Linked DNA regions of Daphnia pulex. Each later gene encodes a partner of the first gene's protein in a complex. Links are inferred from orthologs where the notes say so. Each region holds a gene or a part of one and is shown in the gene's direction. Other genes may lie near its edges.

Evidence for each region.
Region 2: exosome complex component RRP45-like (region 1) and exosome complex component CSL4-like share a complex: the UniProt entries of both Homo sapiens proteins name them as parts of the RNA exosome core complex. The link is inferred for Daphnia pulex from reciprocal best matches to the Homo sapiens genes EXOSC9 and EXOSC1.
Region 3: exosome complex component RRP45-like (region 1) and exosome complex component RRP4-like share a complex: the UniProt entries of both Homo sapiens proteins name them as parts of the RNA exosome core complex. The link is inferred for Daphnia pulex from reciprocal best matches to the Homo sapiens genes EXOSC9 and EXOSC2.
Region 4: exosome complex component RRP45-like (region 1) and exosome complex component RRP40-like share a complex: the UniProt entries of both Homo sapiens proteins name them as parts of the RNA exosome core complex. The link is inferred for Daphnia pulex from reciprocal best matches to the Homo sapiens genes EXOSC9 and EXOSC3.

Annotation. Positions count from the first base shown.
Region 1 is NC_060019.1:12,892,180-12,900,663, forward strand, and holds exosome complex component RRP45-like, read left to right. Parts: upstream 1-3,736; 5' UTR 3,737-3,876; coding exon 3,877-3,942; intron 3,943-4,008; coding exon 4,009-4,103; intron 4,104-4,174; coding exon 4,175-4,347; intron 4,348-4,412; coding exon 4,413-4,683; intron 4,684-4,744; coding exon 4,745-4,969; intron 4,970-5,032; coding exon 5,033-5,307; intron 5,308-5,386; coding exon 5,387-5,424; coding exon of another isoform or gene 5,425-5,445; exon of another isoform or gene 5,446-5,500; coding exon 5,501-5,641; 3' UTR 5,642-5,654; coding exon of another isoform or gene 5,655-5,777; 3' UTR 5,778-5,804; intron 5,805-5,853; coding exon of another isoform or gene 5,854-6,102; intron 6,103-6,371; coding exon of another isoform or gene 6,372-6,429; intron 6,430-6,472; 3' UTR 6,473-6,483; coding exon of another isoform or gene 6,484-6,629; 3' UTR 6,630-7,429; downstream 7,430-8,484. Other genes in the region: C-type lectin domain family 7 member A-like, read left to right, coding at 1-211; transmembrane protein 208-like, read left to right, coding at 1,220-1,228, 1,433-1,591, 1,662-1,798, 1,863-1,947, 2,006-2,149; protein FAM92A-like, read right to left, coding at 2,237-2,362, 2,426-2,990, 3,056-3,184, 3,252-3,353, 3,436-3,476; histone deacetylase complex subunit SAP30 homolog, read right to left, coding at 5,655-5,777, 5,854-6,102, 6,372-6,429, 6,484-6,629. UniProt on the Homo sapiens protein: Non-catalytic component of the RNA exosome complex which has 3'->5' exoribonuclease activity and participates in a multitude of cellular RNA processing and degradation events.
Region 2 is NC_060026.1:7,113,487-7,120,716, reverse strand, and holds exosome complex component CSL4-like, read left to right. Parts: upstream 1-3,091; 5' UTR 3,092-3,110; coding exon 3,111-3,246; intron 3,247-3,306; coding exon 3,307-3,425; intron 3,426-3,520; coding exon 3,521-3,590; intron 3,591-3,646; coding exon 3,647-3,825; intron 3,826-3,908; coding exon 3,909-4,115; 3' UTR 4,116-4,144; downstream 4,145-7,230. Other genes in the region: protein SERAC1-like, read left to right, coding at 4,279-4,346, 4,420-4,745, 4,829-4,953, 5,024-5,140, 5,205-5,472, 5,545-5,732, 5,840-5,958, 6,131-6,232 and 5 more. UniProt on the Homo sapiens protein: Non-catalytic component of the RNA exosome complex which has 3'->5' exoribonuclease activity and participates in a multitude of cellular RNA processing and degradation events.
Region 3 is NC_060023.1:8,699,472-8,706,904, reverse strand, and holds exosome complex component RRP4-like, read left to right. Parts: upstream 1-3,663; 5' UTR 3,664-3,777; coding exon 3,778-3,896; intron 3,897-3,956; coding exon 3,957-4,194; intron 4,195-4,254; coding exon 4,255-4,389; intron 4,390-4,447; coding exon 4,448-4,618; intron 4,619-4,683; coding exon 4,684-4,818; intron 4,819-4,880; coding exon 4,881-4,961; 3' UTR 4,962-4,994; downstream 4,995-7,433. Other genes in the region: CDP-diacylglycerol--glycerol-3-phosphate 3-phosphatidyltransferase, mitochondrial-like, read right to left, coding at 1,635-1,837, 1,898-2,126, 2,192-3,097, 3,162-3,425; uncharacterized protein LOC124197887, read right to left, coding at 5,591-5,760, 5,829-6,018, 6,083-6,227, 6,292-6,373, 6,445-6,584, 6,667-6,976, 7,040-7,433. UniProt on the Homo sapiens protein: Non-catalytic component of the RNA exosome complex which has 3'->5' exoribonuclease activity and participates in a multitude of cellular RNA processing and degradation events.
Region 4 is NC_060019.1:5,893,683-5,902,318, reverse strand, and holds the start of exosome complex component RRP40-like, read left to right. Parts: upstream 1-4,180; 5' UTR 4,181-4,266; intron 4,267-4,267; exon of another isoform or gene 4,268-4,329; 5' UTR 4,330-4,410; exon of another isoform or gene 4,411-4,648; intron 4,649-4,722; exon of another isoform or gene 4,723-4,809; intron 4,810-6,884; exon of another isoform or gene 6,885-7,081; intron 7,082-7,150; exon of another isoform or gene 7,151-7,310; coding exon of another isoform or gene 7,311-7,377; intron 7,378-7,513; coding exon of another isoform or gene 7,514-7,650; intron 7,651-7,741; coding exon of another isoform or gene 7,742-7,833; exon of another isoform or gene 7,834-7,965; coding exon of another isoform or gene 7,966-7,966; intron 7,967-7,971; exon of another isoform or gene 7,972-8,001; coding exon of another isoform or gene 8,002-8,411; intron 8,412-8,474; coding exon of another isoform or gene 8,475-8,636. Other genes in the region: uncharacterized protein LOC124191515, read left to right, coding at 1-35, 100-192, 258-733; bifunctional peptidase and (3S)-lysyl hydroxylase Jmjd7-like, read right to left, coding at 8,002-8,411, 8,475-8,636. UniProt on the Homo sapiens protein: Non-catalytic component of the RNA exosome complex which has 3'->5' exoribonuclease activity and participates in a multitude of cellular RNA processing and degradation events.

The DNA of each region.
Region 1 (8,484 bases):
TACCGAATGGCAATGGTTCTCAAACAAGAAACCAATCACTTTCGACGACCTGAAAAATACTGAAAAAGTGAAAGACAAAGAGGCCGTATCAAATCGATGCATTCTTTTAAATTACGTAGAAGAAGATTATCCTAGTGGAGGATATGCATCCCGTATCTGTGCTAGTTTTGGTTACCGTTTTGTATGTGAAGCTACAGCACCGTCGCAATAATGTTTAACACGTGTTTGGAGATTGGATGATCATTAAACTCATAAGACGCCATGAATTCATACACAGCCGATATTGATTATTACTAGTGCTGCTTAAGGGGCTGTCCATATATTACGTAACGCGATGAGGGGGGGGAGGGGGTTGCAAAAAGTGTTACGAAATGTTACAGGGGGGGGGGGGAGTTTTGAAAACGTTACGTAGCAAGGCCGAAAATTTTTTTCAATTAAAAAAAGTTAAAACAGTGGCAAAAATATCGATTAGTACTCCGCTATCGCCTTCATCTTCTTTATTGAGCCTATCTAAGAGTTTGTACCATGTAACATCAAATACATGGCTTTAATCAAGAAAATTTTGTATTTTGTATTTTTAAATTCACTGGGGGGGTTTTGTTTTTTGTTACGTAATTAGAAGGGGGGGTGTCTGTTTTTTTGTTACGATCCGTGACAAGGGGGGGAGGGGGGGTCCAAAAAGGTGAAAAATTGCGTTACGTAATATATGGACAGCCCCTTAATACAGATACCATTTCCTGAAACTTCGTGCAGTTCCTTATTTTTCCTTTTGTATTTTTTAAGTTTATTGTTTATTTAAGCAAAAAGGTTGAGCTCTGCTGCCGTGATTGCTTGCGTCAAAAGTAGGAGGGTTCGAATAATTATTTTATATATTGATTGTTGATTGCTGTTGATACATGTAGTAGCAAAAAAGATTTCAGATCTAGAAAACTGGCGCGCGCCCAGCCAGGGATCGTATTTATTAATGTCGCTAGATGGCAGCCTAAGTAATTTTACTCGATAGAGTTTTACAAAGAACCTTTAAAGTTATTATACCGTTTTGTAATGGAGAAGGAAAATTCTTAAAGATCTAAATTCAATTCGAATAAGTTCCTGGTTTGTTATTTCGTATTTTCTCTGTATTTGTGTTAGACTTGCAACATTGTGACGAGTTGGAACTTTGTGTGGTTGCCATAACAACAGCAGAATAGCTTGATTGTCGGCGAATTTTAACTGAAAAATGACAGCTGTAAGAATTTTTTGCTCTACGCTAATACCTATTTATTAACTGTAATAACTAATTAACTTCCGAAAATTTATCTCAGTTCGTTACTCTTGCATGACGTTTACTTTTTCTAGCTTCAAAGAGAGAAAGTGTCGTCGATTATCCCTTCATTGCATCCGTCAATCAAAGTAAAGTAATTTTGTTTTTTTTTTGCTTCCCTTACTTTAGGAAAAGAAGAGCGCAAAACAGGCCACCAAGGGCCAGAAACAGATTGTCGAAGAGAATGTTGCAACACTCAACTTCTACAGAAATATGTCTGTTGTGGCAGTGGGTGTATACTTATTATTCTCTGCCATTTTTTGGTCCACCACCTCTTCATTTGATATTGTATAGTTGATTTTTTTAAATTATTATTTAAAATTTTAATATTTATAGCTCACATTCTTTTGAATTTCAGTTCTTAATATGTCTGAGTTCATTTGCTCAGTTTTGCTGCTATCGCTTTATGGCCTACATGGCTAGAGCCAAATACAGTGAAACAGGACAATTGTTAGATGGTGGAATTGATCTCAACATGGAATCTGGAATATCAGAGTAAGCTTTCAATTGTGATCTGATTCATGAATTTGTATGTCAACACATTTTCTTGTTATTAAAGGCAAATTAAAGATGCCATTATCCTAGTAAGTGCAACCGAGGTTCTGTCTTCCATCTCCAGTTACTTTTGGCTTATCTTGTTGGTGGTAAGTTATTCAGAAATTCATTTCATTATTCTTTATTACTTAAAATTATCTTATTTAGATTCCCTGTCGACTGTTTCACTTGGCTTGGAAACATTTCCTTAGTCCATGGTTTTTCCAGAAAGCCCCAACTGCAGAGCAGGATGCACAGGATGACAAGAAGCAACGCAAATTGGAGCGCCGCATCAAGCGTCAACAGCATTAAAAGAGATACTAAAGATTCCCTGTACTGGCTTTGTATTTAACATACCTTTGAAATAAATCAGACTCTGGACCTCTTTATTTGTAACAGCTATTTGCGCCGGACGTGAGAAGATCGCGGGCGAGGTGATTCTTCTTCGGATTCTTCGTCGTCATCGTCTGAGCCTTCCATTTGTTTTAACTCTTCATATTCCTCCACCTTCAGTGAATCCAGGGACTGTAAAACAAAATCCATATCACAGAACTGATCAACACTCCAAGATTTAGTATGAATAGATACCTCGGCTCGCTGTCTGTAATCAGAGAAAGACTTGGAACGTTTGACCTTGGACGCAGTTTCTGTTGGTGTGTTAGGCAACGCAATTGACGGCACAGATTGGGCTCTGGCAGGACTGGATTCTGGAAGAGGCATATAGGTCCTTAAAGTGTTGCGGAATTCTTCCAAATCTGATTCCACATCGACGTTTTCCAACTGCTGATAGGCTTTTGTAAGAACGGACAACGACGTTGAGTGAAAACTCATTTCGATTAAAGCCAATCGCTTCATCCAGCTAATAAGATCCTTGAGCTTCTTCTTTTCGAGCTTGTCGGCTCGTTCCTCTATAGACTTGCCTAGTCGGACAGATTGTGTTGTGGCGTGTGCTAAATCACTTTCCGCTTTGCTTATTTGCATTCGTCCCAACGGGTTTTGCTGCCGTAACTTGTGAACGTATTTTAATTGACTTATTTCTTTTTCGTACGCAATGCTACAGCTTCGGACGTCCTCCATGGCCGACTTGCAGACGCCCGCGTAACTTGAAATCTCTTGGATGACAGTTTCCTCCAAACGGTTAACGCAAACATCTCTTTTTAAAAATAAAGTCGGTTAATTAATTTGACTAATTTTTTCGTTACGAATTCAAACTCTTACCTGTAATCTGAAATGAAAGAAATGTTATCGGCAAAGTCTTTGATACCTTGACTGCAATTTTTGTTGACATTTTCTGCTGTAGCGTACTCATTTAATGTCTGTGCCAGAAAATCGCCTTTATCCCGCTGACTGAATTTAGATTTCACAGGTTATGTTTATTACGAACACCATCGAATTAAGGTATAATTAAACTAACCCGGCTATTTTTCTAGTGTATAACGCTAGAGCGGTGCAGATCTCACCAAAGTGTTTTTCGATTACTTGAATTCTATTTTGTATGAAGCGCGTTTGGGTTGCACTTCAAGATTTACAAGGGTTGGAAACAAGAAATTATGTACATGTTTAAGATTTTTCTTAAATTACAGCAAAGATAAATTTACCTTGAGTGTGGCAAAGAGCTGGCGCTTGGTGAACGAAACATTGTTTTTTCAGCGTTTATAAGAAAAAATACTATTCTTCCGTGCTTGTTTTGATTTCCATGTTTCCGTAACCGTGGTAACGGATCGTTCCAAATTTTAAACGCTGCTGCTTGGTTTGCTTCAAAATATTGGAAATAATTGTATTATTATAAAATTTAAGTTTTTTTTAATGAAAAATTATCTTTCCTGATATTTAGGAATAGAAGTTAAGATAATCATAAATCTATCTAAATCTAGAGAAAAGATTTCGAGTGGCAACGTTGTCTGTCATTCACGCACGTGGTCTGCTTAAATATTGTTCTTTTTCAGTCGGGCAGAATTATTCGTTCTTTTTATTTCCATCGTCAAATAGTGCTTAATTCTTTTATACACTGGTTTAGTTATCAACTGTTTATATTTAAAATGAAAGAAACACCGCTATCGATTTGTGAGAAACAAACTGTAATCCAAGGCGTCAAAGAAGGACAAGTATTTCTCACAGGTCTAGTTGTTGTTTTTCGAATTTTGTTAACATTGTTTACGATTCATTCTTAGAGAGTTGACGGGCGTAGTCTCTCGGAACAGAGAAAGACTTGTATTACATTCGGAACAGAATGGGGATGCTGCCAGGTCCTTCTTGGAAACACAAGGTATCATGTTTTAGTGTCATTTTTCAGTACTTGTTTCTAACGTGTTTTATCCTTAATGAATCTTTTGTCAGGGTGATGGCGCAAGTTTCTTGCAGTGTCCAAGTCCCGAAATCATCAAGAGCAAATGAAGGCATGCTGTTTATCAATGTTGAAATGTCTACTATGGCAGCTGAACATTTTGAAGCTGGCAGATTAGGACAACAAGGCATTGAAGTCAATAGGCTAGTTGAAAGGTGCATTAAAGGTAATGTACATACATTGCCACTCATACATCAATGGCCCTTATTACATTAACTATTTTAAAAACAGATTCCCGCTGCATTGATTTGGAGAGCCTGTGCATTTTGGTTGAGGAACAAGCTTGGGAAGTGAGAGTTGATATACATGTACTGAATCATGAAGGAAATCTGATTGATGCTGCCACTTTGGCTGCTCTAGGCGCTCTTTGTCACTTTAAAAGACCGGATGTAACTCTCGATGGTCGGGATGTTATCATCCATCAGCTAGATGAACGGGATCCAGTTCCACTCACTATCCTACATCATCCTTTAACTCTTTCCTTTGCTCTCTTTAACCAAGGGTAACTAGATCGCTATATTTTGTTTTCCCTTTGGAAAATGTATTTATAACTTTCCCCATAGGAGAATTTGCGTCTTGGACCCAACAAATTTAGAAGAACGTTCTGCCGATGGAAAACTTGTGATGGGTTTAAATGCATACCGAGAACTTTGCACATTACAGATATCTGGCGATGGGGTGTTTATCCATAAAGAAGCAGTTATATCGTGTGCGAATGTGGCAGCATCAAGAGCTGTTCAAATGGTTGAAATGTTAAAAAAATCTCTGGCTGACGATGCCGCCGAAAGGTATTCAGCCTAATTCTTCGGCACCCGAAAGTGAATAACATTCTCTTTTTGCAATATTTGTAGAGCCAAAGGAAAGTACAGTGGGTTAGTTGCTAGCGTAGCGCTGGAAACAGAAAGAATCACCACTCAGTCACAGGCCGAAGTGTATTTCAAGGCGTCACATCATAAGGCTGAAGTATCGAAAAAAGAACCTTCGGCAATCACGAAGACGAAACTTGTAAACGATCAAGGAGTTGTTACATTAGAAACCTCTTGCGATACGTCCAGCAGCGAAAGTGAGATGGAAGTTGAACCACTCCCACCTGTGGCAGTAAAAAAGAGGGTCTACGAAGAAATAGGTAAAAACATTGGTTTCGTCCTGTATCTCGTCTATCGGCATTCAAATCTAATTTTCTCACCGTTTCCTTAATTACATAGATGTTGGAAATGATAGTGAAGAGGAGCCTGTCATGTTGGTAACCAGCGAACTTACATAAAATGACTATGATGCACCGATTAAACCTTTCGTTCGAATGTATTTGAATTTACAAGGTTAAATTAATAATTAAAACATGCCAAGGAGAAAACAACAGACGCACGCATATTTTTGAGTTCCATCCTTTCGCTAGTTCATCATTTCGAAGACAAACGTGCTTTAACGTGATTTGCACTGGGGGAGGGGTTGAAGCATAGACAGACCACGGTTTTACAAGTTGTCATTGTTTGGTTTCAGATCGAGTTTGTTTTTATTAGATTTGACGGTGTAAAGGAATGAGTGGAGGGCTTCCTTCTCCACCACGGGAATAGTCCGGAAATGGCGCATCAAGGTCTATCATTTCAATCACGAGGATTATTGGTAAGTAATTAATAATAATAATAGTAGGTTAACTAGGCAATATCTGTACCTCTGCAAGTTGTGCTTTATTGAGGCCTGGTCGAGTGGGCACTTTGTAATGTCGCTTGTAACGCCTTAGCGTATTGATTTGAAGTTGGAAGAGATCAACTTCTGGAGCATCACGTTCTCTTTCTTGCAGACTGAGCGTGTCTCGATCTGTTTCGTTGGAGTCGTCTTCAGAATCTTTCCTCTTGCGCTGCCGGACTCGAACAGACTGAATTAAGCTCTTGTGGTAATCACAAATATAGATGTGTCTGGCCTATAATTAAGAATAATAATGCACAAGTTAAATAATACTTCATGAATCTTGAATAAAACTGACAAGGGAACATCCACAGTGGTTGTGCCTTTATTGGTCTTCCAAAAGCGGAGGGAATGCTCAGGATTTCCAACACTTTTAAAAGTCCAGGGCAATTTGTGACCAAGTGAAAGCCTAATGCAAAAGACAGGTAATTTCTACTTGGACACGAAGGACCCTTGAATAGGGGGTTTTCTTGTCCCTACTGAAACTTTGTGTGAATAACTTACAGAGGAGTCCATGTGTAGCCGTAGTTTCCTTTGTTGTACAGTCTTTTGAATCCGTTTACTAATCAAACAAATGTTGAAAATAATGTTTCTTGATCAATTAGAGCACACATACCTGTAAGAGGCATTTCCAGCCATTCTAGGACATCTCTCGCCATCGTCAATCATCTGATCAAATTCAATCAGGCAGCAATGTTGATCATGGCTTCGCTTGGAATCACGCGAATCCTCCTCACCCGAACCCGTGCTAAACCCATTCATCTTTGAAATATGCTGAGTGCTCCCTCGCACGATTGATCGAAAGTCACAACAAAGGCAATCTCGAAAGTTACCTTTCACTACAACGTACACAACGAACTGTGGACGCTTTTTCACGAATTGCGTATGTAAGCCAAAACAAACTGTTTACTTGAAATCTCACGATTACCGTACAACCTACTAAGAAAACGGAGGAAATCTCCCCTTAATTCTTCGCAATAATTGACTTTTGTTTAGCTACTTTTCAATGTATCCAATCGAGTTTTTAGGAAAAGTGCAAGCCTACACAAGTCGTTCGTCGTTGAAACACACTTGTTATTCTCCCTCAAGCTACGAAAACGGTATCCAGACGCGCTTGATCGAGAGGGCCGTCATGTCTCCTGAAAATTCTAAACTCCCTTGTTGCTGGTTCTTTTTTATAGAAAATATTTTTACCATGTGGCTTTCACAAATAATTTAAAGTAAAACAAGTTTAACTTGTAAAGTATTTTCAAAATTCAGTTGATTTTCTAAGACGATTGTATGTTAAATAAAACATAAAGAAAAGTTCGAGATATCGCGCCCTCTGCCGTGGGCAACGTGTACTTCATTATCATCACAGAAAATGTTGAATTTCGACTGTTGACCCTGTGCCGAAAAACGTTTGTTAATAAGAGTTGTGTGAACATTTTCCCACTTAAAAGCGACTTATTTCATAGAATGTAATCATCGTATGGCCTACGTGTGGTTTACTTGAGCTGTGGAATGTAAAATTGCAAATGTTCTGTAGTTCTGACTGTTATCAATAACATACAACAACAACATCAACGATTCTTGGAAGATAATCGTCTGCCAGGAATTGAAGTAGGTTTAATAATCTCATCTCTCGTGGGTTTTGTTTTCAATTCTCATCCAGGTTGCTGGTAATGCGAAACAAATATTATAACAACTTCTTTCTTCTCTTTATCGATTCCACCAAGAATTCAAAAAAATGTATTTGAAACAATAAAGAACGTTAGTGACGCAAGATGGCGGGGACAAGCTTTCCTCTTCCAAGATTCTAACCTAAAAAATAAAATAAAAACATTCCTTAATAATTATGAGCTTATCGTGTCAAAGATGGAGTCCTCTGCAATCCTTATTCTAACGAAAAATTTTACATTTTAACATGGCCGACATACAGGGAAAAAAAAATCAAAAAGTGACGTGCTTTCAAATCTAGATTATGAACTGGTCCACAGCAGACCGGCACATTATTTAGAAACGCCACTACGCCAGGCCATTCAAAACAATAAAGGCTTCTCCTTGTTTCTATGTCCCCTAACCCGGCTCTTCCTTTATCGATTTTAGCTCAGCCCAATCGCCATTATAGATACGACTCTTTCAAGTTTCACATAGCATTTTTCTGGAAGGATTGCAAGTGGCGCTACGTTTGGCTGGCCACTGAAGCTTCAACTTTTGTTTATTTTCTTATCAATTTTCAGTTTTCCTTGTTCAAATTCGGCCATATTTTTTAAAAGTACAAGCGCTTTAATCACAATTTCCAAATTCTGATCACTCTCGCGTAAAATGAATGGCTAAAAATAATGTAGAGTTCACGACTAAAAGATAGCGTGTGCGATCGAAAGTTAGGCTTAGTGTTTTCCAGTCTATAGTTGTCCAATAACGTCAATGCGCCCAACCGGTTTTATTCTACATACTTGTACTAAATAACCTTTTTTTCACGAGAAATAAGTCATAATAAACTGAGATTTCAATGCCAAGTTAACTATAATCATGTAGGGCTTCTTAACTAAAAGAATACATATATTAGGTCGGATAGCAGATGTTTTCTTGGGCGATTTCTAACTATACCATCTCCTTGATTCAGGATAGATAG
Region 2 (7,230 bases), on another chromosome or scaffold:
TATGTAGAACATGTTTAAATAGTGATTTGAATTTTTTTTACCCGTGTAAACACATTTTCTGGTGGAGGTCGGACCTATTGCCATGCCGGTCCGACAGGGCAATAGCCCTCTATGGCTATTGCCCTGTCAGTGTTAATAACCCCATCTAGCGACGGCTATTGCATTTTACTTTACGTATGTTGCATTTTGCATTTTTTCTTTAGTCAAGGCCTATTACACCTTCTTAAATTGTATCGTTCACGACTCACGAATCATGTGAGTGTTATCATGTATGTGGAATAATTTATGTCCCCATCACAAACTATAATGGATATGATGATTCTTATACCTACGATTGTTACTGAATTCTCAGGTTAGATAACCGTAATAACAGTAAGCGTTTTGTTTCATCTCGTTCAGTGCAAATAAGTGCAAAAAAGTAATCATTCAATTAAAAAGGCATAATAAAGGTTAAAGGGACGTGCTAGTTAAAACGCTATACAAGACACGGTGCACTTTAATGTGAAAAGAAATCATCGCGGAAATCTGAAAACTAATCAGTGGATCAAACATAAAAATCACAAATCACAAATCAGTGATTGAGAGGGTGATCTTTTACACAAGCAAAAAACATTTTCGGTGGTTCTTGTATCATAAAAATCAATTGAGAGAGATAGTACACGAGTGACGGTAAACACACTCTTGTGTAAAATTCGAAGGCAGGACACTAATTAAAACTGTATAAACGAAACTCTATAAACTAAAAAATATAATTGGCGCAGGAATACATAGGTAGAAAGATGAAAGATTTCAATGTCACGGAATCAGATCGATCATTAAAATTCAGTGAACTATCCGTCTTGTTTAAAAAATATAACTTAATGTTATTTTGTTAATTAATATGCGGTGATTGAAGTGCTTAAAAAATAATCGACCCGGGGGAAGAAAAGCATTCAAAGTGGAACGATTCAGTGCAACAGGCGTGAACCAGTTTTATTTTTTTAAAGTAGCAGGACGGCAATATTTCCTGTGTTCATGATTTTTTTTTTTTTAGACTATTGAATTTCCGTTAATTCTCTCAGACGTAAGAGGGTGAACGATGAACCATGCGCAGCCAGTTCTGCATAAAACGGGAGACGGAAGAACGGGAGTCCCGTCGGTTAAGTAGTTCAAATCTTTCGTAGCCTATGTATTTCTTGTTTGATTCACACGTTACGTGGGAATCAATCTGCAGAAAAGGTCGATAGGGTGAGTCACGTTGCTGGTTGATGTTTATTCAAGGTCGTTAACAACCCCTCGCACCCCATTCTGACTTCTGAGAACTCCGGCTCAACCTTCAACCAACCAACTGAACAAGGTCAAGGGGGGAGACTAAGGGTGACTCACTTTGTTGTTGTAAATAAACCAGGTAAAAACCCAACAAATGCGTTGCGTTTTTCAAAAATGTCTTACTATAAACGAGTTTTAAAACTATTCATCCATAATGATACGAAATTTTATAAAATATCCATAATTAATATACAATAGCTTACTTTAATTTAACTCTAGTTTTGTTGGATCCAAACATAGTAAAATAAAAAAAAACGAGAAATTATTTTCGTGTTAACTTATTCCAGATTAAGGTTTATAATCATAAGAAAACAAATTAAATGAAAAATTTTCTGGGATAACTTTACAATATTAAACGTTCCATATTAAATTATAACTTTCCTAGTCGTTAATTCTACATAGTATTCATATGGATTCAAAAACGCTACAATTTTTTTTCTTTTGAAGTTCATCTTTCTCATATGCTATTTGATTGATTTTTATGAAAAAAAAATCATAAACATCCCTTCGGATACCTTGCTAATAACGCAGGTAGCTGACATCATATCGTGACATGTGTTTTTCGAAAAAATAAAATTTTTGTCATAAAATTTGTTTGTAATTTTACCCTATGCATCTTATTTTAAAAACCCAAACCAAACCTAAAAGTTTTACCATTAAGATTGTTCTTGGTTCAGAAAGGCTACCAATAGCCGTCGCCAGGTGGCGGTTTTAGCACTGACAGGGCAATAGCTCTCTATGGCTATTGCCCTGTCGGACCGGCATGGCAATAGATTTCACGCAATTTGCTGGGACATGGCAGCTTTGTCAGGGGTATGGAGAGAAAGGTATGGGGGTCTTTCCATACCCCTGGCTTTGTTAAACACACTTTCCGTACCATGTCGAGAGTAGGCATGGTCGAGAGTACTCAAGGCATCATCTTATTGGGTAAAATGTGGCATCACGTGACTTTTGGCAACGTCTATTGGGAGATTGACTGTGTGCATGGACTACTCTAATTAAGGACGGGATTCTTCGCCTATCCTGCCTTGTTAAAGCTAGTCGGGTGGGGTATTTTCATGAAAACATTAATAAAAAATATCATTAAATTCAGTTTTTTTTGCTGATTCCAACTATAGATATAAATCTTAGTGAAATAAACTAATCATTAAGATATTATAAATTTACTTTCAGAAGTAGGGGTAAAAGGATAAAACACCGGTGCCATCTAGCAACCAAACACCCTAAGCTCTTAAGAATATACGCTACAAGGTAAAATATAGTTAGGCAGCTATGTCAGAGGACTAGATAAGAGAGTGGTTTTTTCTTTCTCTCGGTATGCATGCATGGGCATCTGCTTGCAAACTAACAAGAGCTTAGGAGGTTTGGTTCCTAGATGGCACTGGTGTTTTGCCCTATTTCAAATTTTTCGTTAAGGAATTGGAAATATCTCTATAAAAATAAATGTTAGGTATAGGGCTCTTCGGGATCTGTTTTATTTAGCCGATTTATCTGGCAACGCAGCATGGTTCGAGACTTTTTTAGGGCGAGAACGGGGAGAAGAGGGAGAATGGGAGGACACCCTCCTCCCTCCCATTCCTCCCATCCTCCCTCTTCTCCCCGTTCTAGCCCTAAAAAAGTCTCGAACCATGCTGCGTTGCCAGATAAATCGGCTAAATAAAACAGATCCCGAAGAGCCCTATAGGAACATATGGTAATTCTATGATAATTTTTAAATTCTGATTCTGATTCTCCCACAAAAAAATTTACATGGCCGACATAGGAAACGCCGAAGAATATACCGTCCTTAATTAGAGTAGTTCATGCTGTGTGCACACTTAACGAACCCCACCCGTGAGCCGCCCAGCAGTCGACGTTTTTTTCTAACTTCGAAGTTGTTCTGGTGTGCGAAAAAAATGACGAATAAAGAATCAGACAAATGTGTAATATGCACTCCCGGTAATATTAAAAAACATATTTTTTTAGTTGTCATTTTGATAAAATGTTTGCATTTTTCAGGACAACGCATATGTCTGTCGGATAACCAATATATTGGAGGAGCCGGAACTTACACAAGACAAGGTTATATCACATCATGTTTAGCAGGTGTTGTTAAAGTAACTTCACAACCTGATAAGGTTAGTGGTTAAACAGTGAAATTAGATCAGTGAAACAATTCATTTGGTGTGAAATAATGAACTTCCGAATATTATGTTCAAACTTTTCTTCCTAGAGAATCCTGATAGAGGTTAGAAGTGGTAAAGAACAGACAGTTGTTCCATCTGCTGGTGATGTGGTTACAGGTACTGTTTAAATTATGTGTTGAATTTTGTGAATTTCATCTTAAACCTTTAAATAGCCAGAGTAACACAAATAAATCCTCGCTGGGCACGATGTGCCATTTTGTGTGTTAAGGACATTGTATTGGCAGAACCCTTTAGAGGACAGCTGAGGAAAGAAGATGTGCGTGCTACAGAAAAGGACAGGGTTGAAATGTACAAATGTTTTCGTCCCAATGACATTATTTTAGCAAGAGTGGTAATTATTTGATTTTGATCATTATTTCAACTGTAAAGTGAGTATGACTTCTAAGATGAAATTTTTTTTCATGTTGCTGTTAGCTCTCATTAGGTGATGCACATTCCTATGTTTTGTCAACAGCAGAAAATGAATTGGGTGTTGTTATAGCATACAGTGAAGAAGGTACTCCTATGGTTCCAGTAGGATGGCAAGAAATGCAGTGCCCAAAAACTTATGTTAAAGAATTGAGAAAAGTTGCAAAAGTTTCGCCAGAAACAATTTCAAACGAAAATGCAACAGGCGTCTAGATTATATTAATACATGAAATTTGACAACAAAGCTTTTCGGATTTTATTTTATTGGTGTTTTGTCGACTGCTTGCGTTTCTGTTCAATTCATTTCATTTTCTCCAAGTTCCTTTTTTCTAATCATAATTTATATTCTTATAGTTTTTTCAAGCATGTAAATAAAATGAGGAAACATCGCCAAGTGAAATGGAAAAATTTGCCGAAATCTCTAGCTGTCATTTTTATAATTGGGTATTTCAATTCCTAGCGAGTTCTTGTAATCAGCATATAGAAAACTACAATGTATCTTTTCTTTTTTATGAAGAGGAGGAACTACTCTGGCATACCAAATTCATTCTTTAAACCGCCGGTTTTCATCTTTATTGTCAGATGCCGCAGTTGAGAGAGAACGTCAAAAGGCTGGGTGCTATATTGCTATTCCTCAAACTGTAATTGAAACTGAGATTCATGCTATGACCTCTAAACTGAAAAATGTTGAACAAATGGTGGAGACTCTTATGAAGGGACCAACACATCTTGGTCTTGATTCAAATCCCTGGCATCTTCTTCGAATTCTTAAATCAGAACTCCCTTCTCATACTCAAGAACACTCCACTGCTTTAAAAACATTGGCTACTTCACATTATAATGGTATCTTCAAATATATTATTTACAGATTATGGTTATGGTTATAAAGTGTAAAATAACTGCTGATTATTCTTTATATAATATAGTTGGATTATCCCAGCAAATTGCCCAAGCATGTGATTTCAGGGTTAGTGTCAAACTGGCAAGAACAAAAAATGTTAACCTAAACTTGTTCCTACAACCCCCTGCTTACATAATTTCAACCTCTGAGGTTTTAAATTATATATTTAAAAGCTTATAAATGATGTGTCTTTTAAACAATCCTATATCCTCTATTATAGCCCATAGAAGATGTGTTAAACCACATTCTTGACAAAATTCCTACCTCCAATCAACACACTTGTGCTACATATTTTCTTAGCATTGCTCAAAAAATTACTGAAAAAGACAAAGATGAAGTAAGTATTTCATTTATGTAGTAGTTGATGAAACTTGTATAATATGATTCATTTGTTATTCCAGGAATTCAATCTTAGATGGGATCCTGATACTGCTAGAATTATACATCCGGGAAACATTGTTCAAATCGTAGAGCTGTACTTACAAGCTTTATTGGAACTGTCTCGTTCATTCGAATCCTCAATTTTAATGGTGCAAAATGGACTTCTTGTCGCGCTCTGGCGAGTCGTGCATATGTTCAACAAGGAAGCAGCGCTCAAAGCATTGTGTGTTAATATAATTGTGAACATCTCTTTATTCTCTCAGCTCCATCATCAGATTTTTCAATCAGGTATACTGTATAAGAATTTAAAACGTAATAAATTTTACGTAAAAAATTAACTTAACCTAAAAAATTAAACAGGTTGGATTGGCCTTTTAGCAGAATTTTTTGGTCCTCAACATGCTTCTCTAAATTTAGCTGCTGGAAAAGCTCTAGCTAATATGGACCAAAATAGCCGCAAATGTGGAGTATATGATAGATCAGTTTACCTGCTGCATCCGTTGTACGAGGATAAGGATGAAAGCAAGAAACCTTGCGTTAGACAAAATGTAGTTGGTCAAATTACGCTATGTTTTGCTAGTCTCATAAATGTTTACTAATTTTCTTTACATTACTTGTTAATATTTCATTCATATATCGCATCGACACTCGACAGGCAAAAAAATGGAGCATGGATGTTATTTTCGTTCATGGACTTCTTGGAGGGGTGGGATGGACTTGGCGGCAGAGTGAACTACTCGGCATGAATAGCGACTATAGCGAATGCTGGCCAAGGTATAATAATAATAATAAGCTATGATGTCATGCTGGCTCACTAGGTAAAGTTTATGATTACTCATGTGCGAGTCGTTAAGATTAACCATAAAAGAGGAGGTTGTGTTGACCCGCTACACCCTTATAATCTTTATTTATTTACTAATTTCAATGGGAATTTATTATTTTACAGGGACTGGTTACCGGCTGACATTCCTGATCTCCGAATTCTAGGTGTCGATTATGCGACTTCTCTGTCACACTGGAAGAGTCGATGTCCGGATGATGCACGTAGGTAATGGAAGCATAAAAATCGGAATAAGGGGGATTTGTATTGGTTGCTTTGAGACAAAGTAGAAATCTTAACCTGTTATAAATCATTTATTACAATAGGAGTGCAATCAATTCTAGAGCAGACCAAATATTGCTTTCACTTAAGCTAGCTGGAGTGGGAGGTCGACCTATTGTTTGGGTTGGACACTCCATGGGAGGCTTGCTATTGAAACAACTTCTAATTAACGGTAGGGTGTTGTGGATCCGCTCTCTTCGGAATATTCACTAGCTGTTATTCTTCCCTAGCTTCGAAATCTACTGATCCTGAGCTACAGAATATAGTCAGGAACACAAAAGCATTGTTAATGTTAAGCGTCCCACACGACGGATCAAGTGTAGCAACCTTGAATCTACCTGCGCGTTTCCTTCTGCTTCCTTCTGTAGAAGTAGAAGAATTAAGGAAAGGTGAGTAAAAGACAATGTTGTAATACTACTTTTTGTTTCTTTATCTACAGAGAATTTCTTGTGCAATGCAGGCTCTAACATACTAGATAATCTGAACTTAGAGTTCAAGAACTTGTTGCTAAAATTCCCAATAGGAATTGTCAGTCTAGTGGAAACCAAAGCAACGCTAGTACAACCATGGGGAATTGAGTTCAAATTTGTGGAACCAAATTCTGCTGGTAAACCCATACTTTATATGTATATACATTTTTTGTTAATCTCTTGATTTTTAGATTTACTTTCCGCTGGTGAAGTTCATTATTTACCTGTTGACCATTTTGAAATTTGTAAACCTCTTAATAGGTATAATTTCATCTTTATCGTCTTAAGTTTTTGTTTAACATCCGAATCTTTTTATTTTTTTTTAGAAATTCATTTATCTACCAGCGCCTTATTAAGCTGATTCTGGGAGTTCGGGTAGGATCTCCACCAAAAGATCTAGTTCTCACACTACCTGAACATAAATAGGAGATTTTAACCATTCAACTAGTACCAATTTATGTTTGAATAAAGTGA
Region 3 (7,433 bases), on another chromosome or scaffold:
CGCAAGAATAATTTTCAGAACGAGTGAGTGGAAGGAGGCTTGCACCGCCCACCCTAACCTCTGTTTGTTAATTACCCAACGAATGTAATATAATTTGCAAATTGACGTTTAAAAATCTATGGACGTAGCATTTGTAGCTTATTTTCGTTGTGTCGTGAACAATTCATGTACTATCGTGAAGCCAATGCATTTTTTTTTTGGGAATTACAATTGGTGATGAATACAGACATTTTTCCAGAAATTCTTAGACCTGTTGGTAATTTTCTTCCAATTTTTTCTTTAATTACAGTTGTTTATTATACGGGTTATCGGTTTCCGTGAACTTAACGCTCCCTTCCACGGGAGCACTGAACGCTATCGCAAGAAATGTATTAACATTAAAAATGAAAACATATACATTTAGATTTATTTATGTTCACCAAGGTTTTTTTTTCAAAAAATGTATTTTTTATTTTTCGAAACATATCTCCTGTCTTCGCTACTTCGCTCAGGGTATCGCCTCGCAGTAGCGCAGTTGGGAGCGCGGCAGAATACAATGCTGTCACGTGTCAGGTTGCGTGTTCGAGCCGTATATCCTCCAGTTCTATTAAAAGCACTACAGTTGTTCGAATTGAATATCCGTAGCCGTCCGAACTGGGACATTAAATAACTGTAACAGGGTGAAGTTTGCTCGTATACAACTAGATCTGGCTTCAATCTGTTACCGCACAGTTAACTTTTAATTAATTAAATTTCAGCAGTTCTCTAATCGAAATCTTTACCGTTGCAATAAACACGTCAGGATTTCTACTCTACTCCATTACACGGGAGAGATGAGAAAACCCAGATATGCATGTTTCATTTCTGTTTATGGGCTAAGATTGAAAACAAATACATGTCGGGTAAGCAACTCTTAATCACAATGTAATATGAGCTAGATATAAACTATTCAACGAATATTTGGGTACATGATCCTACTCCATAACATTGGAGTTGGAGTTGCAAGCGGAACTCTCACTCTTTTTTAATTAAGCTGTTAGTAGTAAGAGTTAAAGTAAATATTGGAGTATTGGACTGCCATAATTTTATCGTTGGACCCCAAGTCTTCGGACTATCGATTACCAGCTACTATTGCTCGTGCTATCTTTTACTTTCGCTGACATAACGGTAAAATAGATGTTAACATTAAAAACTCTTGTTGTCCGTCAATAAATGCTGAGATGACTGTTTCTTTTCAAAAGAGATACATTTCGTTCATGGTTCTTTCAGCTTTTGACCTTCAAAGTCGTACGGAACTGTCGGTCGGCACCAATTCACGAAAAACGCTATAGGGTTAGAAATAACGCTGGGTTATGCCTTTCATTATTTAAAATCATTTAGTTTAATGTAAATACGATAGTAAATACGATGAATGCAACCGTCAAATTGTTTTTTTTTTTCTTTTACTTTCACTAAAAGATACGAGCAATAAAATTCTTGAATTTAGGTTCGTCAAAGTAGTAAACATGCAACTCACGATTATGTAAAGAGAATTGCATTTCTATTTCTCACTCCATCGTTATTCACGGAGGTCAAAAACAAACAAATGGATCGGATCACCGGGAGTGCAACAACAACAACGTCTTAAGATTACTTTGCTGTTGTTTGTTTGTTTACTAGAAGAATCTCCGAAAAACTTTGATGACGAAGCGAACCCACAAGGGTATCTTTCTATCCGGGTGATCAAAAGTCGTACCGTTGACCAGGTCGCCTTGCTGAAAGAGATTTCTCCGTTCTCGATGAAGCTGATCCCGTAGGGTAGGATTGATGGTCACTACTGCCAATTGCGCTTCCAAGTCTCGATAAACAGAACGATATCCTACGGGCCAAAAAAGTGTCAGTCGTTTGAATTTTTGACAAAAATACGAAAACATGTTACCAAAGTTAGGAGATCCTACTAGAGTGAAAGAGGGTCGAGGATCTCCTCGATTAAAAGAGATCCACAAGCCCTTTGCATGGAAAGTCCAATTCTGTCGTTGATATTCCCACAATCGAATGCGAGCTTCCAGCGCTCGATCAACCACTCGTCGATAAAATTGGTAAGCCAGTAGAGTATAACCTGATGGGATTCCACCTGCGAATCCTTTCGCCCCGAAAAAACCATTGGCCTATTGGGAATAAATCAATCAAATTAAATGGGAGAACGTTTGTTTGAATGGTGATAGGGGCTTACCAGAGGATGTGCCATGAGAATGTGAACATTTGGCTGGGACGCTTCTAGCAAACTATCCATATAGTCCTGAGTCAGGTTGAAGTACCCGGTTGCTAGACATAATTCGGCGTTTGCCGGTACGTTTTCTAGAATCTCGCGCGTCAAGATGTTATCCATGTAAATGTTTAGCTGCCCCATCTGGACGAAAGGGAAGATCCAGGTGTCGTAAGCAGACGGATTCGGCCATTGAAATATCGAGGACGAAACATTTGCTTTTATTTGCTTTTCAAACAAGTTGTTGATTCTCCGTTTTGCTTCTTCTGTAAATTCAAGCCGATTGGATTCAAACGGATGGTGAGGAAAAGCGGAATTCAAGTTAAGGCAGTTGTTTTCACTTAAATGAAATGAAAACTGGCACACAGTTTCTACTAGTTGGTCAAAGAAATCCACTAAATCTTTGCAATCTTCCATAATTATGTATCGATCTTGCCGATTTGTGAAGTAATCGTGGCTTAAATTTGCGCCACTGATTAATAAGGAATCGTCAAATATGTAAATCTTCATATGTTGCAAGCCAATAATTTCATTCCATCTTTCTGGGAGAATTTTCTTTAATAATCCTCTAAGTGCTGGAGTGTGATAAAAATGGACTGAACACTGCTGGCTGTAGGACTGAACTAAGGGAAGCAGCATTGTACGGGAATTGAATTGGGCACCTCTAGAGCCTCTTGTTGCATCCAACAGAATTCGAACTTTCAGGCTGGAGCCAGAGTTTTTCTTCAAAGTACTTTCAATTGTTTTTACAAGCTCATTTTCATGATTTCCTGTTCCAAGATATAAGGATGCAAAAGTGACTCTTTGACTTGCTTGACTAGTCTTTTCAATAAGTGTTTTGTAGAAATCTTCAGGATCAGACAAAACTCGAACCTAAGAAAAAATTTTACAACTATTACTAGAAGACACTAATAAAATACCTTATTAGAACACTAACCTTATTTCCGTTCACAGGGAAACAAGGGGTTTTACTTCCGAGCCATCTGAAATTTTCAAGGGTCGTTAACAGTTCCGTTCTCTGCTGTTCATCACTGTCGGGTTCCATTTCGGGACGATGCTGGAGATGAAGTGATCTCGAGACAAGGTTACGTTGCCAACCTCTGCGAGCAGTCTTGGGAAGGAAGTGCCAAGATACTCGTTGTCGCCCAGCAACGCATATCGTTGTTGAAAAAAGTATTGCTTTTTGGCAAATTAGTGACATTTACTTGTACGGACGAATGAAATGAATCGGCATATAAACAAACAGACATCTGATGGCAAAAATTAATACTAATGTGATTCGCGCAATGTTTTATTTGATTCGTTAAAAAAATTTCAGTTGACTTTATATTTTCCATTTCGAACATAAGTTAATTAGTCGATTTAAATTGCACAATATCATTTTGACAAGAATATCCACAAATATTTATATTCTTAAATATTTTGATATCGCCATAGCTTAGGCAACGTAGCAGCATGGTATAGCAGAACACGATGAATTATTGTCATTTTCAAGTGTGCTGTTGTTTCCTTTTTTTTGAACTTGATACATTAGGATAATTAAAACCAAAAGAATGGTAGACATTCGCCTTGCTTCTGAAGTGCCTCCTTTTCATATCGTCGCTGATTCTACTGAACCCAAACATCTTGTCACACCTGGCTCTTTGATCACAAAGGAAACAGGATTCATGAGGTAGATTGTTAAAAGTTTTGCCATTTTCTTGATGATAATCTTATTTTATGTTTTGCTAAGGGGTCATGGAACATACATGCAAGATGACTGTTTGTACTCCAGTGTTGCTGGAGTTGTGGAGAGAGTCAACCAACTTATTTCAGTTAGACCCTTGAAATCTCGTTATCATGGGGAGATTGGAGATGTCGTAATTGGTAGGGTTACTGAGGTTTCACAGAAACGTTGGAAACTGGACACCAATGCAAGATTAGATTCAGTGCTTCTTCTTCAGTCAGTCAATTTGCCTGGTGGTGAACTCGTAAGAAAGACTTTTTATTTGTGCAATTACACAAATATTTATATCTCATAATGCTTTTAGAGAAGAAGATCAGCAGAAGATGAATTAGCCATGAGGCAATACCTGAAAGAAGGAGATTTGGTCAGTGCAGAGGTTCAAAACATCTTCAATGATGGAGCTCTTTCTTTACACACCCGCAGCATGAAATATGGAAAAGTATAACAATAAGTTATTTAAAATATTAACTGTAATAACAACCATTTATCTGTTATAGCTTTCCCAAGGTTGCCTAATAAAAGTTAGTCCATCTTTGATCCGAAGACAGAAGACTCATTTCCACAACTTGCCTTGCGGAGCAAGTATCATTATGGGTAACAATGGATTTGTTTGGATCTGCCCTACGCTCCTTGACGATGGCGCCGGTGGATTTGTTCAAAACTTGGAGGTGCGTACTAAAAAGTCGATGTTTGTACATTATCACGTGGAAGCTAATTCTGTTGAAACCTATAGACAGTTCCGCATGCCGATCGACAAGCTATAAGCCGGTTAAGGAATTGTGTGACAGCTTTGGCGCACTGCAAGATGATGATCTATGATACCAGCATTATGCATGCCTACGAAGCCTCCGTAAATGCTGGGCTTGAGGTAATTATTTTTACATTGAAACTAAATAATTCAATGCTAACTTATATAATGCTTTTATGTAGATCAAGGATCTTCTCCTACCGGACAAGATAAAAGAAATCGCTTTAATGGTTCGTAAGCAGTTCGAAATGGAAAAAGAATAATTTAATTTTCGAATAAACATGGCTCAGGCTGAACCAGAAGTTGACATTCGATTTCCCAAACATTAATGGTGTGGATCAGTTTATTCATACTGCAGACAAAGTTTTATTCTGGGGCAGGGAAAAACATAAACGAAGAAACATTCGATAATAAAGGCGGTTTTTTTTTGTTTCCAACTACAACCGGTTTCCCAAGAATATTAAAATTTTGTAGACTTCATTTATAAGTCATCCCCCCCACAAATCATATTTACATTAAAACAAGTGTGCTAGAGAAAACCAGGATAAGATCTGCCGTAAGCACCACTCAACAAAATGCCCTGGGCTAGTTTTGAAACACCTAAAAAGATTATATAGGATAATAAATTACTAATGGACCCCGTTCCCTAGGTCCACCAAGGAAGGAAAAAAAAAAGATTTAACCGGAAGTCATGTTAAAGCGCTGCTTTAACAAATCAAGCAAATAATAATTAACAAAAAAAAAAAATAATGATAAATAGAAACAATGAATATCTAGCGAAATTCCGTGACGACGAATGGATAACGATTATGTTTAGGAGGGCTTCACGATTGGAAAATGTCCCGTGTTTTTAGATATTAGGATTCCACCTTGATTAGATGGGTTTGTAATCTTAGACGCTCTTGTCGGGTCCCAACCAGCGGCGCATGAGGAAGTAGAACACGGTGCAGATGTACAGTAATAAGAGAAGAGCGCATGTGACGGCCAACGCCAGGACGGACGTCTTTGTTGGGCAAGTGCTGTTGAATACGGTCACCGTCTCTTCATGGACTGTGTAAGTACCTACATTTTTTAAATCAATTAGAATTTCATTCCTATCGTGACCGATTCAAATTTCCCGCCTATCTTACTGTTGTTGGGGAAATTGGCCGGCAAGGTGGCAGTCTGTCGGTGGCTGAATTTCGTATCTTCATCTCCAAAGTCAAGAACGAGGATTTCGTGAGACATGGTCATGTCCTCTTCGGTTTTTTCAACTTTCTCGGCGCTACGGCGCTTACGTCCCCAGGATTCCATCGTGTCTCTTCCCCATTGGCAATTAGCCTGCAATCCATCAATGGTTCGTTATTACATTATTTGAATTGAAATAGGGCGTATACGATCGTACCGGTTCGCAAGGTCCTAGACAGTATCGCACGTTGCACTGAAAGATGACACCGTAGCTCTCGGTGAAGCGGAAAGCTTCGTAGGTGCTCTGCAGAGCAGTTCCGTCCGGAACGAAGCGAGGGAAGATGGATGGATCAGTTGGACAACTATTAAGTAAATGAATAATTATTAGATTTTGTTAAGCAATTTAATTCAAGATTTAATTCTTACCCGTCGTCGTCGATGATCTGGAAGGTACTTCTGGAGTCTTTGGCCATGGCAAGGCAGCTGCGAGCGAAAATGCCGTATGGTGCTGAGTTTTTAAAAAAGAACAATGATGTTATTTTCATGTTGCAATATTAAAATGATAATTCCGTTTCATACTGTTGCCGGGAATTTCAATGCGGAAAATGAGTCGATCTCCGATACGAACAGTCTCGACATCGCCACCGGTGGGATCCAAAATGCGGATGCGTGGAGGTGGGGCAGCCGGTGCGGAAGTGATGCTGATCATGTCCGGATCTCTGTTTTCCCAAAAATTAATTAAAAAGAGATTAGATAAGGATCGGATGGAGAGGGAATGAAGTGGTTATGATGTTGTTATACCTGATGGGCATCATGCCGAAGGAAACGTTGCGCGGCGACATGTCGTAGGTGCATTTAATCTTGTAAATCTTGTCTCCTTTAGTCATGACGACGCTGTGGTGCTGGAGGACGATGGTGTTGGTGAACATGCCCGACATGGATTGGGTGTTACAGTCACCGCCGTTCATGGTCAAGTCCAACCGGAAGCTGTCGCTATTCTGGACGTCGATGTTGCAAGTTTCACTGCGGCCAAGAGCGTAAACGCGCCCGCTGAAGGGCCGGTTGGTTTTAACGAGAACCTCGATCTTGGTATCACGACAATGAACTCCGACTAAAGATAAGATTAAAATTCGAATATTGTTAAGTATTATTATTTTTTTTATTAATTGATTACCATCGTAACAGGTTCCAGTACGGTCGCAGTTGATGTCACTTTCGGTAGGACCGGTTTGATCGCCTCCGCTGATTCCGCCTGATCCATCGCCAATGAGCCCAGTGTTGCTGCCGCCGCTCCCACTGCCAGTTGATGCAGTTGATCCAGTTCCCAATTCGGTTCCAACGTTAAGACTTGGGCGAGTAGGGCGAGTTGGGCGAGGTGTGCTGACGCCGCTTCCAATTGATCCGCCACCAGTTCCGGGACTTCCACTTCCGCCGCTTCCAGATCCACTGCCGCCAGAGCCGGATCCGCTTCCACCAATTCCAGATCCAGATCCGCTTCCGCCAATTCCAGATCCAGACCCACTTCCGCCGATTCCGGATCCACCGCCAACATTTCCAGATCCACTTCC
Region 4 (8,636 bases), about 7.0 Mb from region 1:
TGTTGATGGTTTCAAATGGAGAAATAACATTAATGGTATTTTTAAATATATTTATTTTGTTTAATATCAAATAACGCAATTCTTAAATATGTATTGTAGTGGAAACAAATGCTAGCAATGCATCAGTAAGGAAACGACCAAAAGTAGACAAAATACCTACTACGTCTAAGAGAAAAAAATTTGACAGTACAGGTATTGATAATAGTTCTCGTTACATTTTATTTTTAAGAGCAATTGCTTTAAATTTTATCTGATAGCACCCTCCATGGAAATTACCTCTACTATTAAAGAATCAATCAACATTCCCCAGGCTGCTGAAGAAGCAATTTTTGATCCACTTCCAGATTCAATCAAGGAAAATCTTGCTGTTGTCATGGAAGATACGACAGTTGCATCACCTTCTGTGGAAGCTACCTCTACTATTCAAGAATCAATGGACACCCACCAGGCTGCTGAAGAAGCAATTTTTGATCCACTTCCTGATGTTATGAACGAAAATGTTGCTGTTGTCATTGAAGATTCGACAGTTACATCACCTTCTATGGAAGCAAGCTCTACTAATTTCAAGTCTAATTTTGTGACATTTCAGTCACTAGTAACTTCATCAATGGTACCAAAGAATTGGACATGGTATTTTGATCAAATTAAACAAACGATTTTTTGCATTTCGATGGATCAACTACCAAATGAAAATTATAATGTGAAAAGTGTACACTTTCAAAACAAGAAGTAGTGTATTATGTCAACGGAACAATAAACAATTTACACAACCAAACAATAAAATGTAAGAATGTTTGGACACTTACAAAGAATAAACAATTTACGCAACCAAACAATAAAATGTAAGAATGTTGGGACACTTAGAAAAGACCTAGAGGTTTGACAGTTGGATACTTCTACCTTTTTATTTTGTTCACTTCTTGTAGAAAAGTAAGCTGTGATTGGTCAATGAGTTTTTCATAGACCCTTCCTGATTGGCTGGCTTCACGTAGTACCTGACACACTCACTAGAGGCGCTCATCATTTTTTCCAAATCGGACCACGTTTACCCTGAAACCGGGATAGGGAAGCCAACACGGCCGAGAACCGACCAGGTATCTATTGCTCTGATGGGATTTCAAAAATAGGGTGTTGAATAGGTGTAGTAGATGGGTCCTGTTTTTCGGTGACAGGTTGTTGAGCATGGCATTATTGACTAGGTCGGCTCCTACCGCTTTACTTTTGGATTTGGGGAGGGATCTCTCGAGTTCTTCCGGTGTGATTGGATCGTTCAGGATGTTGTGGGTGGTGGATGTTATGTTGCTGTTGATGGTGGCGTAGAAGTGGTCGTTAGTTGGTAGATTGGCTGGGTACACACTGCTGAATCGGTCGAGGAATAGGTCGGCCTTTTCCTTCGGGCTGTTTATCGTTGTGTTGTTGTTTGAGATCAGGGGGCCGTCTGGTGAGAGGTTAGATCCTTTTCCTAGCATGCTTTTGGTGAAAGTCCAGAGGCGGGGTTGGTCTTGCGGGCCGAGGTTCGAGATGAAGGAGGACCAGGCTTCCTTTTTTGCCTTGATGATGTGTCTCTTTTTCAGGGCCTCGGCTTTTTTCCATTCCGTTCTGAGGTGTAGCGATGTAGGTGATTTGCACCAGTTTTTGAGTGCAATTCGTGCGTTCTTCACTAGTGTGTTGCATTCTGCGTTCCACCAGGGCCGCGATGGTTCTGAGTTTCTTGCCCGTGATGGGTTTGATTTTTTGAAGCATTTTTCGTTTGCTCCGTTCAATCCTGTCATGAAAGCTGTAGTGGCTGCTTCTGGGTTCTGGATCTCCGAGAACTTGAGTTCTATGAGTGCGGTGTCTAGGAGGTGGTTCCAGTCTGCCCACTTGTTTTCGTTGATGATCCATTTGGGCGGTTGTCTTGAGATTCGAGCTGGGGTCGTGTTGAGCGTGAGGATTATGGGGAGGTGGTCGCTACCTAGGCTTGGACCTATTGAAATCGTTGCTGAGGTGGCGAGTTCAGATGATGTCATAGTTAGATCGATAGTGGATATTTTCCCGCTTGCCGGATCGATCCTTGTACCTAGATCAGTAGGTGTTATGAGGCATATGTCTTGGCTGTTGAGGATGGTTTCGAAGATGGTCTTCCCTGCTGTGTTGGTGGTTGCGTTGCTTTCCCACATGTCGTGGTGGCCGTTGAAGTCCCCTCCAATAACCACCGGGTTGGGTCTGTTGAAAATTTCCGCTACGTCAGCCATTTCACAGTCGCCTTTGGGAACATAGGCAGAAATGAAATCGATTTTTGAGTTGCTTCTTGATAGGATGCTGACGCCGATGGCTTCTACGGTGTCATGTGGGGTAAGGGGCAAGGGGGTGAACGAAAGTTGTTTATTAATTAGAATTGCTACTCCTCCCCCTGATCTGTTAGGGCGGTTCTTCTTGAGGATATGGTAGGCTTTGAATTTAACGTAGAAAGATTTCTTCCAGTGCGTTTCGCTGAGGAGGATTATTTCAGGTTTAACTAAGGATAGGAATTGCCGGAATTCTTCTAGTTTGGCTTTGGTGAGCCCTCTGGCATTCCACTGGAGGCATTTGAAATTATTTGTTGGGTTTGGGGTAGTGCGTGAGTGGTGTACTGTGTGTCTACTTATCATTTTCTGTGTCCATGTCGTCTGGCCATTGGCTGGTTGTGCTGAACATGGGGCTCTGTTCATTTGTGTGGTGTAGCAGTTTAGGGTTCATAGTAGTCCTCAGTGGGTCCGCTGTTACGTGTGGGGGTGAGTGGGACCTGTCTGTAACTCTCCCCATTAGTAGTTCTTCCAGCCTGTCAAATCTGTTTTGCTGTATTTGCATGTTGATCTGTTGCTGCTTATCAATGCTGCTGAACCGTTGGTCGAATTTACTAATTTTCTTGTTTGTGTCTTCTAGGTCGACCGCCAGCGATTGGATGTTTACTTGGATTTGTGGAATGGTGGCTGCAGTCATGGTATACATCTCTTGTTGGATGGCCTTTATTTGGTCCTGTAGGGTTGTCAGGTCATTCCTTGGGGTTGGCGGCGGTGCGGGGCGGTTGGTTGGGGTGGGGGTTCGATTGGTTACTGAGCTGTACAGATTTGCGTGGCGGGATCGAGCTTCTTGTATGGTGATTTCCTCCAGGTAGGCCATTTTAATAATGCTCTTCATTTGTTGGTATGCAGGGCATTGATCGCTGTCTGCTTCATGATCTCCGTTGTTGCAGTTAATACACCTTCTTGAGCATTCTTGGTGTGTCTCGTGTTGTTGTTTGCCACATCTTTTGCAGTTAGGGCCATTAGCGTTGCACCTGTTGGCGGTGTGGCCGAGTCTCCAACAGTTCCTGCATCTGTATGGGTTTGGTACCGATACCTTTACTGGGTAGCTGATTGACGCTATCTTGATCCTGTCTGGGACCTCTTTCAAGAAGGTAAGTGATACTGTTGTCGAGGGGGAGCCTGGTGAGTTGCGGATCGGGAGCCGTTTGACATGTGTCACGTGCTGGTCTGCTAGAGCTTCCAGAATCTCCTCCTCCGCGTCACTTATCGGGATACCAAAAATTACTCCTACCTTCCTCGCTGTTGACCGGGTGGGCAGAGTGCTAGATGTTGGTCTGCCTGCCAGGGTCTTGATGTTGAGTAGTACTTGTTGTTGTTGCAAGTCAGTAGGGCTGACGGATAGGTCGCCGCCTGGGAGTACCGTGGAGTCCCGGGGGTCCCCAATGGCTGTGCAAATGGCTTTTCGCATGGCCTCACGTTCTGCTAAGGACATTGATTTGAAGTTTGGACGGTCATCCATGAGTTTGATTATCACAGGGAGGGGGTGGTCTGTTGAGTTGCACGGTCTTTTCGAACGCGGTGGGGCATCACGGTCGGCCATTTTGTTGGTGGCACCTGGCGCGGAAATTGCTTTGACACGGGGGCCTGTGGGGGGGGGGGGGGGGGTCGCGCGTGTTTGTCTGTCGGAATAAAGCGGGGGGCGTATATACGGTGAGTACGTGAGTCTGCTGGCACTTTGAGAGAGAGAAGAGAATGCACGTCAGGTCTCTACGAAGGTGCAAGGCGAACTCCCTTCCTCGAGTTCTTTAATTAAAAAACAATCAAAACATGATCTACGTGTTATCTGGTGTAATCATCGCGTTTGGTTGCCATCGTTACGACTGTCATCTTCAAGTGCTTAACCGCCGCTTTAGCAGACGACAGCTGTAAACAAAAGCAAGGCCAAGATCAAAGACACTTTTTTTTTCCTTTTTTTTGAGCAGCCTTTCCTCTTTTTAGGGTAGAAGAATATATAATTATGTATTGATATACTAAATCTCAAATTGCATTCAAAACCTTATAGATTGGAACAAAGATTGGAAGCCTGGTCCATATCGCAAGACAGGTGCTTAAAGAAGTGACACTGCAGATGGACTCGGATATGGTGTGACTTAATTTTGATGTGTATTTTAAACAGGCAAGAAAAAGTGATCCCAATTTCATTGTAGATGATAAAACAAGCTGTAAAAAATGATAATGAGCCTCCTGCAATCTTTGAGGTGAGAGAAAATTTTGATGACATAAAAAGGGAGAGTGAGGAAGCAGCAGAAGATAACCCTGAAGGGAGCTCCAACGGAGATGAGAATGGAGATGATGATTTTAACTTGGAAGCATTCAATAAGGTTATAATTTTGATAAAATGTCACAATTATTAATGCTAAACGGTTTAGCATTAATAATTATATTTTCTTTACAGGAATATCCTGAGCTTAGTGACACAACACACCAAAGAAAATATGGATGTAAAGATGCTTGAAAGTCTTTTCATCACAAGAATGTTTTGGTATGACATATGAATATGTACTATGGGACCAAGCTAGCACCTGTGAATTGTGATACATGTGTGAAAACATTTTTAGGCAGTGATTATTTGCGACTTCACGTCATCCTGGCAACATCAGGGAGTGAAGCCCTTTAAATGTGACGTTTTTACGACCGATCCAACTTACGTCAACATACGAGATCACTGATGAAAAACTGGCCCGTCCGTAATGTCCGCACAAATACTTAAACTGTCTGAAAACATTTGACCATTCACACGAAAGAAAAAACATTCAGTGTGATACCAGTGGTGTGTAACCTCACAATATTTTTCTTCATATCTTTCTCAAGATTTTTAACTGTGCTATAATCAATTCGCAATAGTAGCGACGCAAGGAACAAGACGATTTTAATGTCTTATTATCATTTACGTGTTGAAATGTCAAATCTTGTTACTAATTTTCCTTTGTTCTAGGAGCTGGAAAAGATTTTCGCTAGCTGCTCTGGGTCATCGTCAAAAGTTGCCAATCCGGAGAGAGAGGATCGATTATTGAGAGACGATATGAGCTGCATGAAATGCGACCGAAAATTCCCTTTGATTGGAGCGGCTATCCAGCTGCGATGTTCTACAGTTTATTCTCCTCTTTTGAAAGGTAACGCAGTTCTCTTGTGTTAGATCAAACAGTTTTATTTGATGCCTTGTTAATAGGTCGTAAACAGCAGCAGCAGCAAAGCCCAGTTGTAGTTCCTAATAATGACGTGTCTGGGTCTGAATCAACTCCATCCTCGAGTAATCTTCCGGGCAGTGACGTCATCGTAGCATCCAATGAACCGTCTTCACCCACCATCAGCGGTAAGGAGGCTTCCGACACTTCGGAAGAAGGAAGTCGAGGTGGTTGTGGATAAAATCATGCGACTCGCTTCTATTAACAGTGAGCAGCCAGAAAAGTGGCTCAGTTTGGAAACAAGTTACCCGCTTAATCAACTAGTTAACATGTTAATCGTCATCGGTAACCGAGGTGTTGTTCTGAAGTTCGGAACGAGTTGGTCTCACCTCATTTTGCTTCGTGATCAAAGACGAACCAAGAACGCGTGACTCACTTTCTCACTGGTAAATCATTTTTATTGTGTTGTTCTTTTATTTAGCTAATATTCTGCGGTTTAGATATTCTTGAGAAATCCGGATTTACTGTTCCGCCGTTAAGGACGGTACTCATGGCGGATCAATGGCTGGCTTTGATTGGACTCCGTCAGAGGAGATCAGGACACTGTTTTGACGGGATCTGCGGATGAAGGTGAAACGGACGGTGTAGTGTAGGATCTACGAGGACGAGTACCCGATTCATGCCGGATAGCAATTCTCGCGTCTTCCTCTTTTGTGTAAACTGACGGGTCGAATGGGGCAATAGTAAGCAACAGAAAAATCACCAGCAAACGGCCAGTTATAGCAACACAGCCTTGATGGTCACAAGTTATCGTATGGTTTTAGTATGTGGTGATCCTCGTTGGCTGACGAGCCATCAAGTTCAGTTTTGAACGTGGGGTGGGAGGGGGAGAGGGTCGCTTCTCAGCCTTCAGCAACTTGTCAATCTCGTCTCTTTGGTAAAATGACGGCCAATATCTTGTCTATTTCACCTGCATTACATTTGGTTGTTTTCTTTATTCAGGAAAACTTCGAAGTAATCGTAAGCAAACCGGAACAGATCCGGTATTATTTTCTCGAATGGACAGTTTCTTTGGCTACTAGAGAGGCGGTTGATCAACTGGTGATTAAATTTTGATTCCCTCCTTTGTTTTGTCCCGTCTTATTATTAATCCTTTATTTATCCTACTAATGTTTTGAACATATTAGATTGAAGCTGTACGATATCGTTGGGAAGCCGTCTTCTCCGTTGAGCTGGAAATCAACGAGCTCGACGACTAACATCATGTAATATCCCCTCTCGATTAGACTTATCGTTTTTCTTTATTGTTACCTTGCTGTACATGAATTCTGTGTGAAGTGCAATTATTGTTTCAAAAGTGAGCCTTTTCAACTTGGAAGTCTAATTAATTACACAATGTGCATTCAGATTTCAGATAATAAGCAATTTATAATAAAATTATTATTCATGTATTTTTTTTATTACTGCTTTAAACACAAATTCACTAAGCATGTTTCCAGAAGGGTGACTTTGTTTTGGTATTCAAATATTTGTAAAGCTTTTTTATTCTAGAGTTCAGCGTGCCCCACTTTGTTGGATGAGTGAGGGGTAATCTTCTCGTTGCACAAATTTCATCTTGGGCAACAGGACCTAGAATTAAGTTTGAAACAACATAGTCAGATTTACTCTTTTCTTTAAAATCTTTGAGTTTTGTAGTACCTGATGCTCATTTCCTTTTACTCTTCTTAACCAGGGAGGAACATTATTGAACAATTGAGTTGGGTGTAAGGTCTTTCGAGTGATCTTATTAGATGGACCAAGGATATCAATGTAGTCATTCTGGCCAAAAAGTGCTCGTTTGAGGAAGGCGGAGGCGGAGGCTTCTACGCCGACGTGTCCAGTGGCTGCAGACGATTCTATACCTGTGGAGTTGGGAAAAAGAACAGGTAATGTAACCGACACCCAGCAGAGTGTCTAGTCGTTTGACAAGTCTAAGATTAATATCTTATTTCCAAATATCTGAGAGCTTAGAATTTTAAAACAAACGAAAAAAAAAAAAAAAAACACGATTGCATTATACAGAGTGGTGTCGCATACTTTTACGTGTGGAACCGGGCTACTGTTTGACCAAGCCACGCTAACATGTCAGGACATTGACAAAGTGGATTGCGCCTTGTCGCCGACTTTCTTCTATCTAAACGATCCTGCTCTCCGTCCAGGTATACACACATTTTTACTTTCAACGTTTTTGTCTATTTTTTTAGATATGCTGGTTTAGAGTTCTAATGCTGAACATTTTTTCCAAAATAGCCGTTACAGAACCGATGGTCACGGACACTTTTCAGTCGTTCAAAACCACCACCACCACAACACCTTCTCCTGAAGAAACAACAACATCCTAGGATTTGGAATTTTTATATATAAATAATTAATAAGAAAGCATTACGTTCGTTTCACCATCGCCGGATTGATTAGTCTTGTGCCATTGATTTCCAGATATCAAGAATACATTCCTATCATAGAATTTAATCGTCTCTGCGTTCAACAGGCAATGACATTTTATTGGCAAATCACGCATCACAGTTGACCAGGTCTTTAACAAATTCGAAATAATTGTACTTGATGTCGTATTGCATATCGTACCAGTAGTTGACTGCTATGCAGCCGTGAGACTGGCGGACGTGGTGGAACCAAAGCGAGGGCAGGTAGAGCATTTCACCTTTCTCAACGCGACATCGAATCTGCCGAGCATTTTTGTACTTGGGATATTTTGTCAAGTCGGGCTTCAAAGGATCGATATCTATCCAAGGAATGGTTCCGTCATCATCCGGAACAATCTTCAAATCTCCGTCGATTTCTTGGTAACTAGCTTTGGGATAATTTGCATAAGGTATCCATGGCTGGTCTGTGGGAGGGTGGAGAATGAAGTCTTTGTATCCAGAAACGACACAGTACATGTTTTCATAGGGATCCTTGTGCACTGTGAATAGGAAAAATGATCTGTATTAGTTTATGATATTTTGACTGATGGAAGTAATGGTACTCGATGTGATTGCCCGCTCATCTCCCATCCAGAAATTGACTGCATCTGGCTTGGTGCCAAACAATGTTGAGGCCCACTCAATCTCGTCTGCAGAGTCAGCTATCAATTCTGCAAACTCTTTGGTGAGATTGGAGTTCTGTGTTTGAATATAGTGCACCCTGT